Canis lupus familiaris: one gene and its partners. The protein of the gene in region 1 interacts with the protein of each later gene in a pairwise test. Links are inferred from orthologs where the notes say so. Each region holds a gene or a part of one and is shown in the gene's direction. Other genes may lie near its edges. The genes, in order: VAMP5, STX16 and ERGIC3.

Region 1 (5,262 bases):
CACAAGACTCCTAAGGGCTTGAGCCTTGCCATGTGCCTTTATTACTTTTCTACTAGAAGTGTTAGCCAAGACAGGCTGAGGACCTCCTTTCATCTCTTTTCTATGGCCCTGGTGCAGTCTAGAGCAAGGTGCTAGAGGAACTGGGCCACTTTTCCTTCTTTTTGGTTCTGCAAAGTTCTTTTGTTTATTTTTTTAATTTAAGTAATCTCTCTACCCAATATGGGGCTCGAACTCATGACCCTGAATTCAAGAGTCACATGCTCTTCTGACTGAGCCAGCCAGGCACCCCTGGTTCTCAAAGTTCTATTTGTCTTTTGTCTGCCCTTTTGGGACTTAGCAGGGCCTCCGGGTCTCAGCTGAGAGGGTGAGCATCTCTCACCATATCTTGTGGCTGGGCTCAGTCAGTGTCACAGGACAGGGCCTATGGCCCTCCTTCCCCTCCATGTACAATGGGCTTCTTTGTCTTCGGTCTTCCCTTCTCCCTGCCAGGTTCCACCTCATTGTCACTCTTTCCTGTCTTGGTTTGGGGAAAGGGTTCTTGCCATCTCTGTCCCTGTTTCTCCCATGGGCTTTCCGGTATTGAAAACAATCTGTTTTGGGGGTGGGGGGGAGTGTGGAAGGGACAGGGTTGGAAGACAGGATTTGGGACTCCTCCTGGCAAGTCAGGTTCTGGAATCATATTCAGAGAACCAGGGAGGGAAAAAAAAAAAAAAAGCATAGAAAAGCCCTCAGGCCAATCTTTGTCCTCCTGTGTCCTCCTATCTCAGACCATGGTCATCCTCTCTCCTCACGTCTGTCATTCCTGGACTCAAAGTCCACAGAACTGGGGTGAAACCACTTCCTTGGGACCCAGACTGCCCAGGGTAGGAATGTGGGCCGTGCTCAGGCAGGGTCAATGCTAGGACGGAAGCCCTCAACCCCCTTCCCCAAGAGGAGCCACAGTTGAGGTGGTGGGGGAGGCAGGGGGTGGGGGTGGCCACAGCCACGAGGGGAGATGGGCATGGAGGCAGGCTCTGGAGGAGCAGGGTTATATGAGGGCAGGGCTGCAGCTGCCCTTGTGGTGAAGAGGGAAATACCGAAAAGCTAGAACTAGTAACTTCTCCCCGGGGGGTCTGTTTTCTTTATTGAGGTGAAATTCACGCAACCTACATTGTGGACACACAATCGTACCACTCAGTGGTACCATTCTGAAATTCACAATTCAGCGGCAGGTGGTGCATTCACAATGCTGATGGTGAATAAAGTTTCTTTCGTTTTGAAACTTTTCGCGGAGTCTGGTTACCAGCGACTGCACTTCACACGCGCTAGCTGTTCCAGGCGTCGCTAGCCCAGGGCCGGACGGTGGCGGTGGCAGACCTCGGCCCCAGGGCCCGCTCCACGCTGCCCGCTTCAGAGACTGGGTCGCCGACGGGCCCCGACGTGTGGCCGCGGGCCGAGCGAGCCCGGGGCTGCCCAGGCGGGAGGGCCCGGCCCCGGAGGCTGGGGCACCGTGCGAAGCCGGGCGGGAGCCGGCAGCTTTCGCTTTGCCTCGCTAGGTCCGGGCTCCCGGGCAGGCGCCCCCCCGCCCCCGCCCCCGCCCCCGCGGGCCCCGCCCCTCCGCTTCCTCCCGGGGATCTGGCACCGCGGCCGCGCGGCGACACAGGAGCCCCGGCTGGCTGGCGAGGCGGCGGCTGCAGCTATGGTGAGGGCCGGGCGGGGCGGAGTGGAGCGGGGCCGGCGGGCCGGGGGCGGAGGGCGCCGGACGGGTGCGAGGCCGGAGTCTGAAGCCCGAGGTGGGGGCCTTCTCCGGGCCCCCCGAGAGTGGCGGCCGCCCGGAGCCGGCTGGGCCAGAGCCTCCTCCAGCGGGGGCGCGCAGGCCGGCGAGGGACAGTTCGGCCGCCCGTGCGCAGGGAGCAAGGCTCTGGCTTCCCCCTTCCCCGAGCCAAGGGGTTACACGCAGTGGCTTCGGGTTTCGGGGCTTCGGAGTCAGGCTTCCAGTCGGACTCCGGGCTGAGATCCTGGTGGTGGCCACTTACCGGCGCTGTGACCCGGAGCAAGTCACTTAACCTTCTTGAACTTTCTTTCCGCATCTATGAAGTGGGGTCAGCATTACCTGCCTTACTGGGTACTTGGGAGGTTAAGGGAGATACAGTTGGCAGAGCCCCGCCTGGAGCTCCTGAGCAGTGTAGGTAGTGTGGTGACCTCTTCGGCCCTTCCTGGAGCTGTGAGAAGACAGAGCAGTGTGGCCCGGAGTTGGAAACCCGAGCAGATGGGGTGGTAGCCAGCCATGGCGGGGTGTTGGAGGGCATTCTTCTGACCCTAGGTAAAGATAAAGGTACATGTTAACTATACAAGTTCCATTGAAGTTATCAGACTATGGCACAGGCCTGTCTCCTAACCTCTACCCAGGGACACATTCTTGAGGTGAGTCATCCCTTACTCCTGCTGCAAACTCTGGCCTGTGTCCCCACTTGCCATCTCTAAGACAAAGGTGTCAGCCGCAAACAGGTGGTGGCAGTAGCTTTCCTCCATCCTCCGGACTCCTGGGAAGATGGGCTGGGCAGGAAGCAGGCTTGGTACGTTAAGCTTCTGCCCTGGAGGAGCTGACAGAGGTGTGATAGATGTGGCCTGGCTGGGGGTCGGGATGCCTGGATGGCCTCATCTCTAGGGAACCAGAGGCAGGAAGAGGAAGCGGGACAGGAAGGTTGTACTGAGCTCTAAGGCCACGCCAGGAAACCAAGGGAGGCTCCAAGAATGGGACAAAGCTCTGAGCCCACTTCCCAGCATACAGGGCAAGGGATCTGGCAGGGCTAGGGGTGGGCTTCCAGTTGGCCTTGAGCACGTGGGGGAGAAGAGGAAACTCCTAAGTGAAGGCTGAGGCCAGGATAATTTATTGGTGGATACTGGAAAACTCTGACACTCTCACAGGTTCATCTGAGGCCAGCAGTGGATCAGAGCCTGGGGAGGGTACACTGATCTTTCTCCCTTCCCATCTCCTAGTCCCATCTCTCTGTTTCACACCTGCCCCTGTCCCTGGCCCCAACTCTTTCCCTTCCTTCTCCCCACTCCCTTCCCTACCTGGTCTTTCTTCCTTGTCCTCTCCTCTGATTCATTCAATCAACAAACATTTCTTGGGCATTTCCTCCGTGCCGGATGTGGTGACAGGTATGGGGATAGAACAGGAACAAATAGTGATGGGTAAGGGCTTGAATTCATTCATCCTATAGGTGGTCTTCTCTCGTGCAGTGTCCAGTGAATGTGAGTTTTGAGCTACAGGCTTCCCTCATATGCACAAGGGTTGGCTTGGCAGCATTAAAAGGTCTGGGGAGTCTTTAGCAGCCAGCTAAAGTATTTGCCCCCCCCCCCCCCCCCCGCACCTGCATTCATTTTAGCACCGTGGTGAAGAATGTGATTCTTGGAGTCTATTGGTTCCACTCCTGGATCGCCTGCTTACTGACTGTACAACCTTGATGATTTAACCCCTCTGAGTCTCAGTTTCTTATAAAATTGGGATGATAACATGCCTTCAATGGATTGTTGTGAGGATTAAATCAGATCAGGTGAACAAACAGCCGGCAGCATGGTGCTTAGCTCAGAGTACGTGCCCATTGAATGGTGGCTGTTATCACCTTCAAGACTTAAAACCTTCTCAACAGCCTGCAGTGCTTGATGGAAATAAACTCTATGCCAGTTATCAAAGGCCCAGGTGACGTTCTGTGTTTAGGTTAGAGACAATTAAGTGCACGAGTTTGCAATAAGGAGAGCTTGCTTGGCTGTGTGTTTTGTAAAATTATCTAAGAGGTTTTATTGACCATTTGTATGGTATAATTCTTGAGATCTGACTGCTTAAAAAGTAATCAGCCAGGGAGCTTGGGCTCTGTCTATAATAATAGCTCTTACTCATTGAGCATTCAGTATTGTCAGGTATTGTGATAAGCACTTTGTTCGTGACAGTCATATGCCTTAGTTAACATCATGTAGGTATCATTCTTGTCACCACTTTACAGATGAGGAAGTGGAGGGTCAGAAAGTTTGCATAGTGGGTAAGTGGCAGAGGCAAGATTTGAGGGAACCCGGGGCTGCAGTGCAGAGCCCCGGCCCTTGGCTCTGAGCTCAGGTGAATGCTGACCTAGCAAGGAACTGATACACCCCTTCACTGCCTGCCCGCTGCACACACAGCAACCCCCCCCCCCCGCCCCATCCCCAGTTCTTTGACTAGGACAGTGGTGACAGCTGGAATAGGGTTTGTCTCCCAGAGAGAAGGGAGACAGGAGAGTTAGGGCAGAGAGGTTTGGAGAGCTTTGTTTTCAGAAGAACCAAGGGTGGGGTGCCTGGGTGGCTCAGTGGATGAGCATCTGCCTTTGGCTCATGTTGTTGTGACCCCGGGGTCCTGGAATTGAGTCTAGCATCAGGCTCCCTGTGAGGAGCCAGCTTCTCCCTCTGCCTATGTCTCTGCCTCTCTCTCTCTCTGTCTCTCATGAATAAATAAATAAAATCTTTAAAAAAAAAAAAAAAGGAATGAAGAACCAAGGCTATTTGGCTTGGAAAAACCTGAGATATTTGAGGGTTGAAAGCAGATATTCTGTACAGAGGGTAACGGTCTGTTGAGAACATTTCCTGTGTAACTGCCACCCCCTGTCTGCCATCCGTGCTGCTGCTCCCCACTCCACGGCCCACCCTTGGCCCTGCAGACATCGGGCAGGGCTGGGAAATGACCCAGTCACCCACACTTTCCCTCTACACTCTCTGCTCCCCATGAACTTGGCAACTCCTCACAGCCTTGCTGGGGGCACTTTTCCACTCCTTCTGGATGGCTTCCCTGCCCAAAATTTTGTCACTGCCATCTAGGCCAGTCTACCACGAATAGAGAAATTATTCTGAAGCCTCTCTCCAGTGTCCTCCTTGGCTCACAAGACCACACTAGGTCTTGCTCAGCCCTCTCTGCAAGTGAATGTCCTCTATTTGGACTTTTACTCTGCATTCGTGCGCTCCACCCTGCCCCTCCGCCCTTGCCCTCTGCCTGGTCTGCCTCACTGGAACCCCAGCTCCACCCCATCCTGCAAGGGCTCATCCACCCGGGGCTGTCTCTGTTCACAGGAATCCACTCTCTGAGGGTGGCTCCAGCACTTAGTGTTTGTCCTTCACAGCGCAACCCTTCACTCTTCTCTACTTGTGCCATGCATGTCTCTTTCTCCCAGCCTATAGTGAGCGTCTTACAAATAGGCATTCAGAGATGTTTTTCCCTTGTCCACTGTGTGCCAGGCACTATCCTGGGTTCACTGT
Region 2 (4,716 bases), on another chromosome or scaffold:
GATTAAATGAGAAGGTTGCAATAATAGAGCAACACGTGGTGATGGAGCCTGAGAATGTGTGCACAGTGCCCCAACACACAGCGCACAAGCACACAGCGTTTGTTCACATCCCGATCAGTCTTTCTGTGCATATAAGTGAGGCCTCAGATCACTTTGATCTGGTCACCTTTCTCGAGGCTCATCCGTGTGAACAGATGAACAGAGCATTTGATGTCTCTCAGACTCGTGAGTGCAGACACACTAGCACTCAGGGTCTCCCTTCACGGCTCACTGGGAGCCGTGTGCTTCCTCTCCCAGCTCTTTCACAGGTGCCAGCGTGCGGTGCAGGCTCTGCCCAGCCGGGCCCGCAGGGCCTGCTCTGAGCAGGAGGAGCGGCTCCTTCGCAACGTGGTGGCCTCCCTGGCGCAGGCTCTGCAGGAGCTGTCCACCAGCTTCCGGCGTGCACAGTCGGGCTACCTCAAACGTGAGTGTCACCAGGCTGATTTCAGGGATTTTGAGTCATGAAAGTTTCAGCACTAGGATTATGGGCCACTTTCTGTTTTCATCCTTCCTTTTTGCTGCTAGTTCTCCGTTTCTTCCTGTACCCTCGTCCTTAACCCCTTGAGCACATTCACACCTTCCATGGCAACTGGCAGCTGGCCCCGCCCCGCCCCCATGGACGGAGGCTGGGGACCGGGGTTGCAATAGTTCACACACAACAAAACACAACGTACTCTGTGTCGAGCTTCAAAAATTTGAAAATCATTCTAGCACATTTATAAAACATGGAGCTTTCCAGATGTTGGGTTGGGGGAAGCTACTAACAAATAAGTAAAATAAGTTGTAATCACATGAAAGCTTTATATTTGCATAACAACTGAAGTATTTGAATGCCTGAAAACTTTTTTGGGAGTAGTTGAGCCACTTGCTGCTTTGGCACAAGTGATTTCAGCCTACCTTTTCTTCGGAGGCCGTGAAAAGTCCGGTTCTGGCCACATCTGTGTTCAAATTACCTCATAAATTGGGTTTTCCTATATTGCCATTGTAATCAATAATATCCCCACACACTCCAAAAAATTTAATAATAATTGCCCCTCCCTCTGACAACTGGCATATTTGTATTTTAATTTTATTACTTCTAAAATTCGATTAGGGTCATTTGGAATTGTTACTAGAGATGCTTCTGGAAAGAAATATTGATTTAAAAAAATGTTTTGTAGCAGCAGTTAGATTAAATATTTCTGCCTCTCTTAGGGATTCTCAGATTGTTTTAAGTGTCATTTTGTCACTCACTTGGCATCAAGTGAATAGTACACATTTATAATGTGATTTTGTCTGGAATAACCCCCAATGCTTGCATATTGTTATATGTTTATAATCCTTTACTCTTCCCCCCACCTCTGTTGGAGATAGGCTTCCTGTAAAGCTAAGAGTATCTCCATTTTGACTGTTGAGTTTTACTCTAGATTTCCCCTTTTTAATGGTGGAACAGTAACCAGGATGGTTTACATATTCGAGTAAAGTGAATTCCTATCTATGATAGGCATGAAGAATCGAGAGGAAAGATCCCAGCATTTTTTTGATACATCAGTACCACTAATGGATGATGGAGACGATAATACTCTTTATGATCGGGTACGTGAAGGGGCTGCAAGGTTGACTGCTGTACATTTGCGCTCAGTTCTGTTCCTTCTCTTCATAGACCTGTAACTTCTGTGCAATGCAAATGGGTCAGCACTGCTTGACTTGTACATCCATCAAGTAGTTTTTGCAGCAAGTGGAAGAACAGTCATGGGGGCCATACTGTTTCTTCCTTTCTATAGGCTACAAGGAGGCCTTGTAATCTGCCTTTCAGAACCTTCGGGAAAGCAGTCTGCACACCCCTCATTGGGAAGAACCCAGAGAAGTGCAAGGCTATCCCTGGTGATTTTGCTACTCAGCCCTTGTGTAGCTGCAGACATGGGTTCTCTTCGTGTCCCCTGCTTTGGCCACTAGTGCTTTAGGTCCTGCTTGTTTTAGGAATTTGGATCTTTCCCGTTAGGGAAAAATAAGTGCTTATGTGTTGTGTTTATGTGCTTTATAGAAGTATTTTCAGAATTCATTCTTTAAATGATACCTACAGCGGTACACCATACCTTTCTGGAGGTGGGAGAAGAGAATCTGACACACAAATCCTGTACTTTTTGTTTTGCTAGGGTTTTACAGATGACCAGTTAGTGCTGGTGGAGCAGAACACTCTGATGGTGGAGGAGAGGGAGCGGGAAATTCGCCAGATCGTGCAGTCCATTTCTGACCTGAATGAAATATTTAGGGACTTAGGAGCAATGATTGTGGAGCAGGTACGTGGTTTACCTTCCTCATCGTTGAGTTTTCCTGCCATGACATCTGGTCCTTCTTGAGACTTTTGATTCCGTATTCCTGTCAGGAAACAAAATTTGACCCTCCTGCCCTTCCACGTATGTATGTATGTATGTTGTGTGTGCTCACACTTTTGTGTGTACATGCACACACAAATATGTGTATATTTTCTCCGCACAGAGATCTGTATATGCAAATTATATGCATATACTAATGTCATTCCCTATAAAACTATTGATAACCTTTTATTTTTTAAGTAAAAAATAGGTATCAGTAGAAGATCTCAGATTCTTTGCCCATACACCAAGGATGCTCATGGGACCACCCTACTTCGGGGGTCTGGTGGGTTCTGCCCCCACTCAGCAATGATTCTGGCAATAGATAAGGTTTCCCTGCTAATTTTGGCAGGTTATTGTGTAAGGGCAACTGGAACCACTAGCTTTCAAGTAGAATTAAATTGTTTGTTCACTGTTACAATCTGATTAGGGTATTTTATTATCTTGCCAGCAGGGATTTGGGTCCTGATCCCCCTGCAACCAGCTGCACAATGGAGTGTTGAGGCCATGGAAGATCTAGTTACAGTAATTACTCCCACGGTTCCCAAGGAACTGCTCTTGCTATCTCTTCTGATACAGTGTGTTCCATTAAGAGCCCTGTTCTTCCACATAGCCTGGTGTTCCCTTCTCTCTGTTTGAACCGACAGATTAAACAATTAAAAACAAAATTCTCCTTGAGGCAAACGTGTAATTTTACATGGTGGATTGGAGCTCACCGTCTTTGCTCTGACCCATGGAAACCTGTGTTGACGTTTATAGACAGGACAGTCTATTTCCAGGCCTAATCATAACCGGGTCTAGCTTAACCAGCTCTCTCTGCTTACTTGAATCCAAGTATTTAAGCGGCAAATGGGCACAGAAGCCAGCCTTTCGCCTCTCAGAGCCTCTTTCCACTGAACCGTATATTTTTTTAAAGCCCCAGTAAGTCTGAATGTGGCATATCTTAGAGTGGCTAAATCCAAAAAAGAAACCTCAATTTGTCAGTATTTCTTTCTCATGAGTTATACTTTATTGTGACTAACACAGCGCTCTGCCATTGAGTGCCTAATATTGCTTGATGATGGATTCCAGAGCTTTCCGTGTGTACCTTTACAGCAGCAGTTAAGTAAAACAGATAATCCTGTGGATAATGATGTCTGCAATTTGCATATCTCAGTTTTGAAATTCCACGTTTCCAGTTGCAGTTGTTGATCGTCTGTAACTGTCATTTATCACCCAGGGTACAGTCCTTGATAGAATTGACTATAATGTTGAGCAGTCCTGTATCAAAACTGAAGATGGCTTGAAACAGCTTCACAAGGTAATGTCGTACGTGTCCAGGTGTCCGGGGTCATTTTAGTCAGAGCTGATCACGTGGGTTGTTGGCCATTGTACTGTGGGGAGTGGTTCGAGGTACACCTCGCACTTCGATTTGAAGTTGTCAAGAACTCCTTTCTGTGACGATAGATTATAAAAGATTTGGCCATTTCTTTCTTTTGGAAAGTCTTTGATTCTTTGAATCATCTTGCTTTAGGGAATCAAGGGAATGGGCACCTGCTAGGTGTGTGTTGAACGTTCTGTGTGCTTGTTGCTGCTGACTCAGGTCTCTTGCTGTGACACCTTTCTGATGAATTGCTGGTAGAGGATCATTCTGGAGCAGATAAAAATCTCATTTTCCCTTTTAATTACTGCAGTATATCTGTGTGCTACCTTGAGAAAAGAATAGTTTGTTGAAGTGAGAGTAGCTCTCTTACTCTTTGCTAATAAGGTAGCTATTTCCGGAATATCTTTCATGATATTTGTTAAAAATAAACGGGAAGCGTCTTAGAAATCTTGTCATCAGTGATGAGAAACATACATATGCTGCTGAGTGGATCTCGTATATAATTGGGTGCATGTTTTCTTTAAAAGGAATGCTAATACTTCACAAGTAAAATAAATTCTGTCCATTTTCTTGTATCTTTGAGACCCTGTGATATTTGTAGCCATATAATGAGCATTTTTCCAGTCCACTAATGTACTGCTCTGTCGCTTTTCTGAAGCTGGTTGCCCTCTGAGGCAGCGGCAGCCCCGGCAGCCCCGTCTGAGAATGGTGTCAGGTTTACAGAAAGTGAGACCGACCTACTGAGGTCTGACCAGAAACCCTTCGCTTTCTCTTTCGTGTGCTCACTGCCGCAGCAGGGTGGGAATAAGACTCTAACGCACGATGGAAAGAAAAGGCCTGCCTCTGGTAGGCAGAGGGCTTTTTAAGCATTTAGATTCATTTTGCTGCCGAGCCTTGTGTATGAAAACAGTTATAACTAACTTGAGTTTTCCACTCTATAATATCCAGTTTCTGATATGC
Region 3 (5,339 bases), on another chromosome or scaffold:
CAGTCTAGGGGTGAGAGATGAGCGGCAGTCCTGAGCTGCCCAGGGGCTGTAGTGAGCAGGAGTAATAGGAGAGCCCTGCTGGTGTGGAAGGCAGTGTGTGGGGTGAGGCAGAGTGTGGGTCAGGGATGGGAGGTGGGCCTGGAGGGGGTCGAGAAGGGTGGTCTCACAGGGACTGTGGGAAGATGGTCACTGTGGAGCTGTTGGCATGGGGCCTGGAGGCACTCGGGAGGAGGCAGTGGGCTGGCAGGCCCCAGCAGCCTCTCCGCTCCCCCACCTGGGCTGCTGACAGAGTCAGGGAGCCCAGGGCAAGGGGTGGTCTGTGTCCTGGGAGGATGTTTAAAAGACAAAGCTCTGATTGCCTGAGGCCAGATAATCTGGCTAGATTGAAGGTTTGGAAGCTAGATCCTGACATCCTTGTTGCTTGGAGGAGGAGGCAGGAATTATAAAGTTCACCAAGTACTTTTCCGTCTTAGATCCTACCTGGTCCTCAGGACAGCCCTTTGTAGAGATCGCTGAAGCCCAGAGAGGGCAAGTGGCTTGCCCAAGGTAACACAGCTAGGAAAGTGGCTTATTGGCTCTAAGTCTTTTATTCTTCTCAGGCCACCATACTTCTGCCCTCAAGAGCCCCTGCATTCACTGGCTAGGGAAGAGTTCTCCTGGGGATGGGACCAGGAGGAGGCTTGTTGGCTGGTTCCACACCCTGCTGCCGAGGCAGGAATACTCCAGGCTTCCTTTCTACCATGTCTCTTACTCCATAGTTCTCATTGTGAAGCTCTCAATCTTTTTTCTCTTCCTCCCCTCTCTCTCCTTCCCTACCTCATGCTGCAGTACATGCTGTGGAGAGTAAGTGGCCCTGCCCCGCCAGGGAGGCCAAGCCCCGGCTTCTGGGGCACCCTACCCTCCCAGGATGGGGGGAGGTTTGGACGGGCCTGGGATTGGGGTCTTACTTTTCAGGTAGGGTTCCTTGAAGCAGAAATGATCAGGACCAGAGGACAGGAAGCACTTGTTCTAGAATAGACGGTACAGGGTACCCATGGCATTTCCTTTGAGGGCTCTGAGGGTAGGGGCCAAGGGGCCAGGGAAAGTGCTTGGACAGCATTCTGAGGGCCCACTTCGCCTTGTCAGTGATTGGCCATCAGCTGTGTTTAGTGAGAGACCAGAGTCAGCAGGGTTTGGCTCCTGAGGTACAAGCAGGGACTGGGCGAGAGTGGAAACCTGGGAGATGCCCGTAGAGGGCTCCCTGTATATGTTGGGAAGGAAATGGGGTCTGTGTTCTTAAGGCCCGAGGAGGGCATGGACTCGCACACAGGCCCAAGACAGGCCTGACGGGCTGCCCTTCAGCAGGGCCAGGCTGGGGGGATGAAGGGCCGAAGAGGAGCTGGGCAGTCATACTCAGGGAGGGGTGAGGAGGCCCGAGCGAGGACACTGAGGGAGGCAGGAAGCCAGTCCTGCTCCACCCGGTGACACATTCTCCCTTCTCTCCTAGTCCATGATTTGCAGAGCTTCGGCCTCGACAACGTACGTACCAGCCAGAAGCCGTGCAGGCGGATGGGGTGGGAGTGGTTGCTGCTTCATGTGTCCACGGGGATGACTGGGGAAGGGGGCACAGATAAAAAGATCCCGTATTCTATAAGAGGATCGGTCTGAGGGTCAGGAACTGAGATCTGCACAGGCCAGAGGTGGGGGATGGGGGACAGGAGCGTCCTGGGCAGAGACCCCCTGGCAAAGTCAGGAGAGAGTGGAGCACCTCTCAGACCCCACCCAGGCTGGTGTGGGGGGTGAGGCTGGAGAGGTTGGCGGGGACTCTGGTCAAGCAGTAGTCGGTCTTCCTCCTGAGAGCGATGGAAGCTGTTGGCTTCCAGATGTTGGCCCTTTAACCAGGATCATGATATAATCAGATTTGCAGGTTTTTAAAGATCCCTCTAAGGACTGAGGTTGATAAAGTTTGGAGCAGGACAGGAGTCGGAGCTGGGAAATCTGGGGCGCTTCTAGGCGGGGCTTCCCTGGCCTGAGACTCCCAGGCAAAGTGGGCCCCTGCCATACGGAGTCCGTGCCCAGTCTTTATGTGCCTTGTGTTTGGATGCAGCCGGAGCCTCAAACTGTGGAGGCCCAGAGGCTGTGAACTCTGGGAGAAAGGAGTTCCCGGTGGGGCGTGGGGGTGCCTGTGTTGGTCACATCTCCCAGGCAGGACCTCTTCTTCCTTCCCCCATCTCCCCACACCCCCTCCCCAGAGCCAGGTACCCCTGTCTGGTGCTGCACTACAGAACTTCCGATGGGGTGAGGGCTGTTGGGGCCTTGAGCGCTTGAGGCTCACGTGTCGGTGTTGCTTGCAGATCAACATGACCCACTATATCCGGCACCTGTCATTTGGGGAGGACTACCCAGGCATTGTGAACCCCCTGGACCGTACCAACGTCACCGCACCCCAAGGTACCAGCCTGGAAGGTGGCCCCCAGCTGCCAAAGCCCTGTCCAGCACTCATGCCCAGTGCTCTCTTCTCCCTGCAGCCTCCATGATGTTCCAGTACTTTGTGAAGGTGGTGCCCACGGTGTACATGAAGGTAGATGGAGAGGTGAGTCTGCAGGAGCTTGGGTATCCAAATCCCTCCTGGTGCCAAACACTTGAGTCCTGTCAACCTGGGAAGTGGGGTGCTGCTCTTCTCCCCAGCTGATGGATGACAAGCTGACGTGCAGGGGCAGTAGGTGATGGGACCCCCACAGCCAGAGTGCAGGCCCCGGGAGGCTTGAGAGCACTTGTGCTTTCTACTTGCCCAGATTGCCTCCATCCATGCCTCTGGTGCTCACTGTCCACATGGTCTGCCTGGGCTGGGAGCTCACCCTTCCTGGGTCCCCTCCTTCCCTTTCTACTGTGGCCGGTGGAGCAGCATCTTGGCAGACGGGAAGTCAAGCCTGGCCTTGCCAGGAGTTCGTGGTGTGCGGTCTTGGAGAGTTGCTTCCCATCCCTGAACCCCTGCTGAGAGAACCCTCTGCATGTAGCTGGGATTGGTAAACTGTAAAGAGCTGGTGACCAAGGAGAAGCTGAGATGGTGAGGCTGGCTGAGAGAGTGTCTGGGGGGTCCCTAAGCCTTGAGGTGTTCACTAGCAACCGGGGCCTTGTTTTCCCTCCCACACAGTGCAGGCACCACACATGAGGGGCAGGAACAGGCATAGGGCTGGGGGACTTGGGAGCCAGGTCACAGACTCAGCCCTGGCCCTGACTCCCTTCCTGTCCCAGGTGCTGAGGACAAATCAGTTCTCTGTGACCAGACATGAGAAGGTCGCCAATGGGCTGATGGGTGACCAGGGGCTTCCTGGAGTCTTTGTGCTCTATGAGCTGTCACCCATGATGGTGAAGCTGACAGAGAAGCACAGGTGAGGGCAGGGGTGACGGAGAGGGGCCTGGGGCTTCAGGGAGGAGGGGTACCTGTTAACACCCGCCCCTGGCACCCACCCTGTCCCTCCACCAGGTCCTTCACACACTTCCTGACGGGCGTGTGCGCCATCGTCGGGGGCATGTTCACAGGTCAGAAGCTCTAGGCTGGCTGGGGCTGGGGCTGGGGTGTGGCAGAGAAGATAAAGCCTGGGCTTCCTGCTGGAGTTGTGGCAGAGGGGAAGGAGGGGCACCTCAGCAGCCAAGGGGAGATGCTGGCCTAGCTGGTTAGGTGAGGAGGCTCTGGGGTCCAGCCACGTGTTGGGTGAGTGCCAGCCTCTATCTCTCTCCCCAGTGGCTGGACTCATCGATTCGCTCATCTACCACTCAGCTCGAGCCATCCAGAAGAAAATTGATCTCGGGAAGACAACGTAGTTGTCTCCTTCCCCCTCTGTTGTTGCCTTCTCCTGTTTCTCTTTGGCCCTTTGGTCATTTCCCAGCCTCGTCCCCACGCACCCCCACTCCGTCGTTCTGAGCCCAGGTTGATAAATCTATTAATTGTGATAGTACTCACTGGTCTCCGTGTGCTTCTTGTATCTGACCAGAGCCTAGAAACAACCCCTCATTCAGCCACTTACTGAAAGCAGTCAGGACTGACAGATCAGGCCAGATGCTCTCTGGGAGCCCCACATAGACATCCCCTGGCTAATAGGGCTTTATTCAAACCTGACGGATGTCTACCCCACAGCCCTGTCCTCAGTCCCTCCTCTGCACTGGTCTTTGGGCCTTTTGGGTCCAGCTCCAGGGCTGAGATGGACCTTTCCCGTATGAGCTTCCTGGAGCCACTATGGCCCTCAGGATCATGAGTGGCTGACCCCAGTGGTACTAGGGCCCTGGGTGCAGGCTGGGGCTTGTCACCTCTTCAGTGAGGGCTAAAGCCGGGGCTTCTCCCTGCTACCCTGGGCTCAGTCTACTGAGAGGGGTCCAGCCAGGTTGGGTTGAGTCTCCTAGGTGGAGGCAGAACTAAAAACTTGGAGAGATGGGAGCAATGGCCACTGTGGAGCCGGGCTGGCATCAGACCCCCAGCTCTGGGTCTCCTCAGGGTTTCCCTTTACAGCCCCGAATACGTGTGCAGAACCAGGCCCAAGACCCCGACCATGCTGCAGCCCAGGGAAGCAAGGATGTTGCCAGCTGGTCAGTTCATTCAGTCCTTTCTCAGGGAGTGTCTGGGTAAGATACTGGAAGCAGGAATAGAAAAGACAGGAAGCAAAGTGGGATGATGAGAGCAACATCTCTAGAGGCAGACCGGCCTGAGATCCGGCTCTGATGTGATCACTCACGAGCTGTGTGGCCTTGGCCAGGTCTCATCTAGAAATTGCAAATCGTATTGCCGCTGTAGTGAGTCTTGTTTTTTTGGTCAGCTGGAAACCATTCCTACTTGTGAACAGTATCCCGAATTTCCCCTGGGCACCTCCCTATCTTCTCACCTTCTGTATTGGGAAGGAGGTTTGATTTCCCACCCTAAGCTCCAGGGAGGCCCCCAGTCAGCATAGCGCATCCCCCTGGCCACAGTGAGCCAGGGCACGCCAGACTGTGTCAGGACTGGGAAAGTTTGCTTCTGGATATGAATGTGGGAAGACATGAGGTTGGTGCCGCTATACTACAGTCCTGAGGGGGCGGATTGTCTACAAATGAGCTGGCCCCCAGAGGACAGCAGAGCTGAGCCCAGAGGCAGAGAACCAGTCCTAGGGACATTGCTTGAATCCCATGACAAGTCGCCAGTTAAACCCTGGGAATTGCAAGCCCCCCAAATCCCTTTCTGCTTAAGCCATTTTGGGTTGGGATTTCTATCACTTGCACCCAGAAGTGTGCTGACAGGGCTGCTGTCAGAGTTGATGAATAAACAAGCTAATGAAGTATGGAAAGTGCTTAGCTGTCACAGGATGGTAGAAGCCATAAGCAAGTTAAGT

The links.
Region 2: the proteins of VAMP5 (region 1) and STX16 interact in binary tests that used the Homo sapiens proteins (3 or more experiments, as listed by UniProt). The two-hybrid records come from large-scale screens. The link is inferred for Canis lupus familiaris from reciprocal best matches to the Homo sapiens genes VAMP5 and STX16.
Region 3: the proteins of VAMP5 (region 1) and ERGIC3 interact in binary tests that used the Homo sapiens proteins (3 or more experiments, as listed by UniProt). The link is inferred for Canis lupus familiaris from reciprocal best matches to the Homo sapiens genes VAMP5 and ERGIC3.

Annotation. Positions count from the first base shown.
Region 1 is NC_049238.1:39,839,929-39,845,190, reverse strand, and holds the start of VAMP5 (vesicle-associated membrane protein 5), read left to right. Parts: upstream 1-1,579; 5' UTR 1,580-1,678; coding exon 1,679-1,681; intron 1,682-5,262. UniProt on the Homo sapiens protein: May participate in trafficking events that are associated with myogenesis, such as myoblast fusion and/or GLUT4 trafficking.
Region 2 is NC_049245.1:44,191,441-44,196,156, forward strand, and holds part of STX16 (syntaxin-16), read left to right. Parts: intron 1-297; coding exon 298-463; intron 464-1,522; coding exon 1,523-1,614; intron 1,615-2,174; coding exon 2,175-2,318; intron 2,319-2,844; coding exon of another isoform or gene 2,845-2,862; exon of another isoform or gene 2,863-3,605; intron 3,606-3,612; coding exon 3,613-3,693; intron 3,694-4,716. UniProt on the Homo sapiens protein: SNARE involved in vesicular transport from the late endosomes to the trans-Golgi network.
Region 3 is NC_049245.1:25,017,527-25,022,865, forward strand, and holds the end of ERGIC3 (endoplasmic reticulum-Golgi intermediate compartment protein 3), read left to right. Parts: intron 1-828; coding exon 829-843; intron 844-1,486; coding exon 1,487-1,518; intron 1,519-2,333; coding exon 2,334-2,430; intron 2,431-2,507; coding exon 2,508-2,572; intron 2,573-3,234; coding exon 3,235-3,371; intron 3,372-3,466; coding exon 3,467-3,522; intron 3,523-3,724; coding exon 3,725-3,804; 3' UTR 3,805-3,938; downstream 3,939-5,339. UniProt on the Homo sapiens protein: Possible role in transport between endoplasmic reticulum and Golgi. Positively regulates trafficking of the secretory proteins SERPINA1/alpha1-antitrypsin and HP/haptoglobin.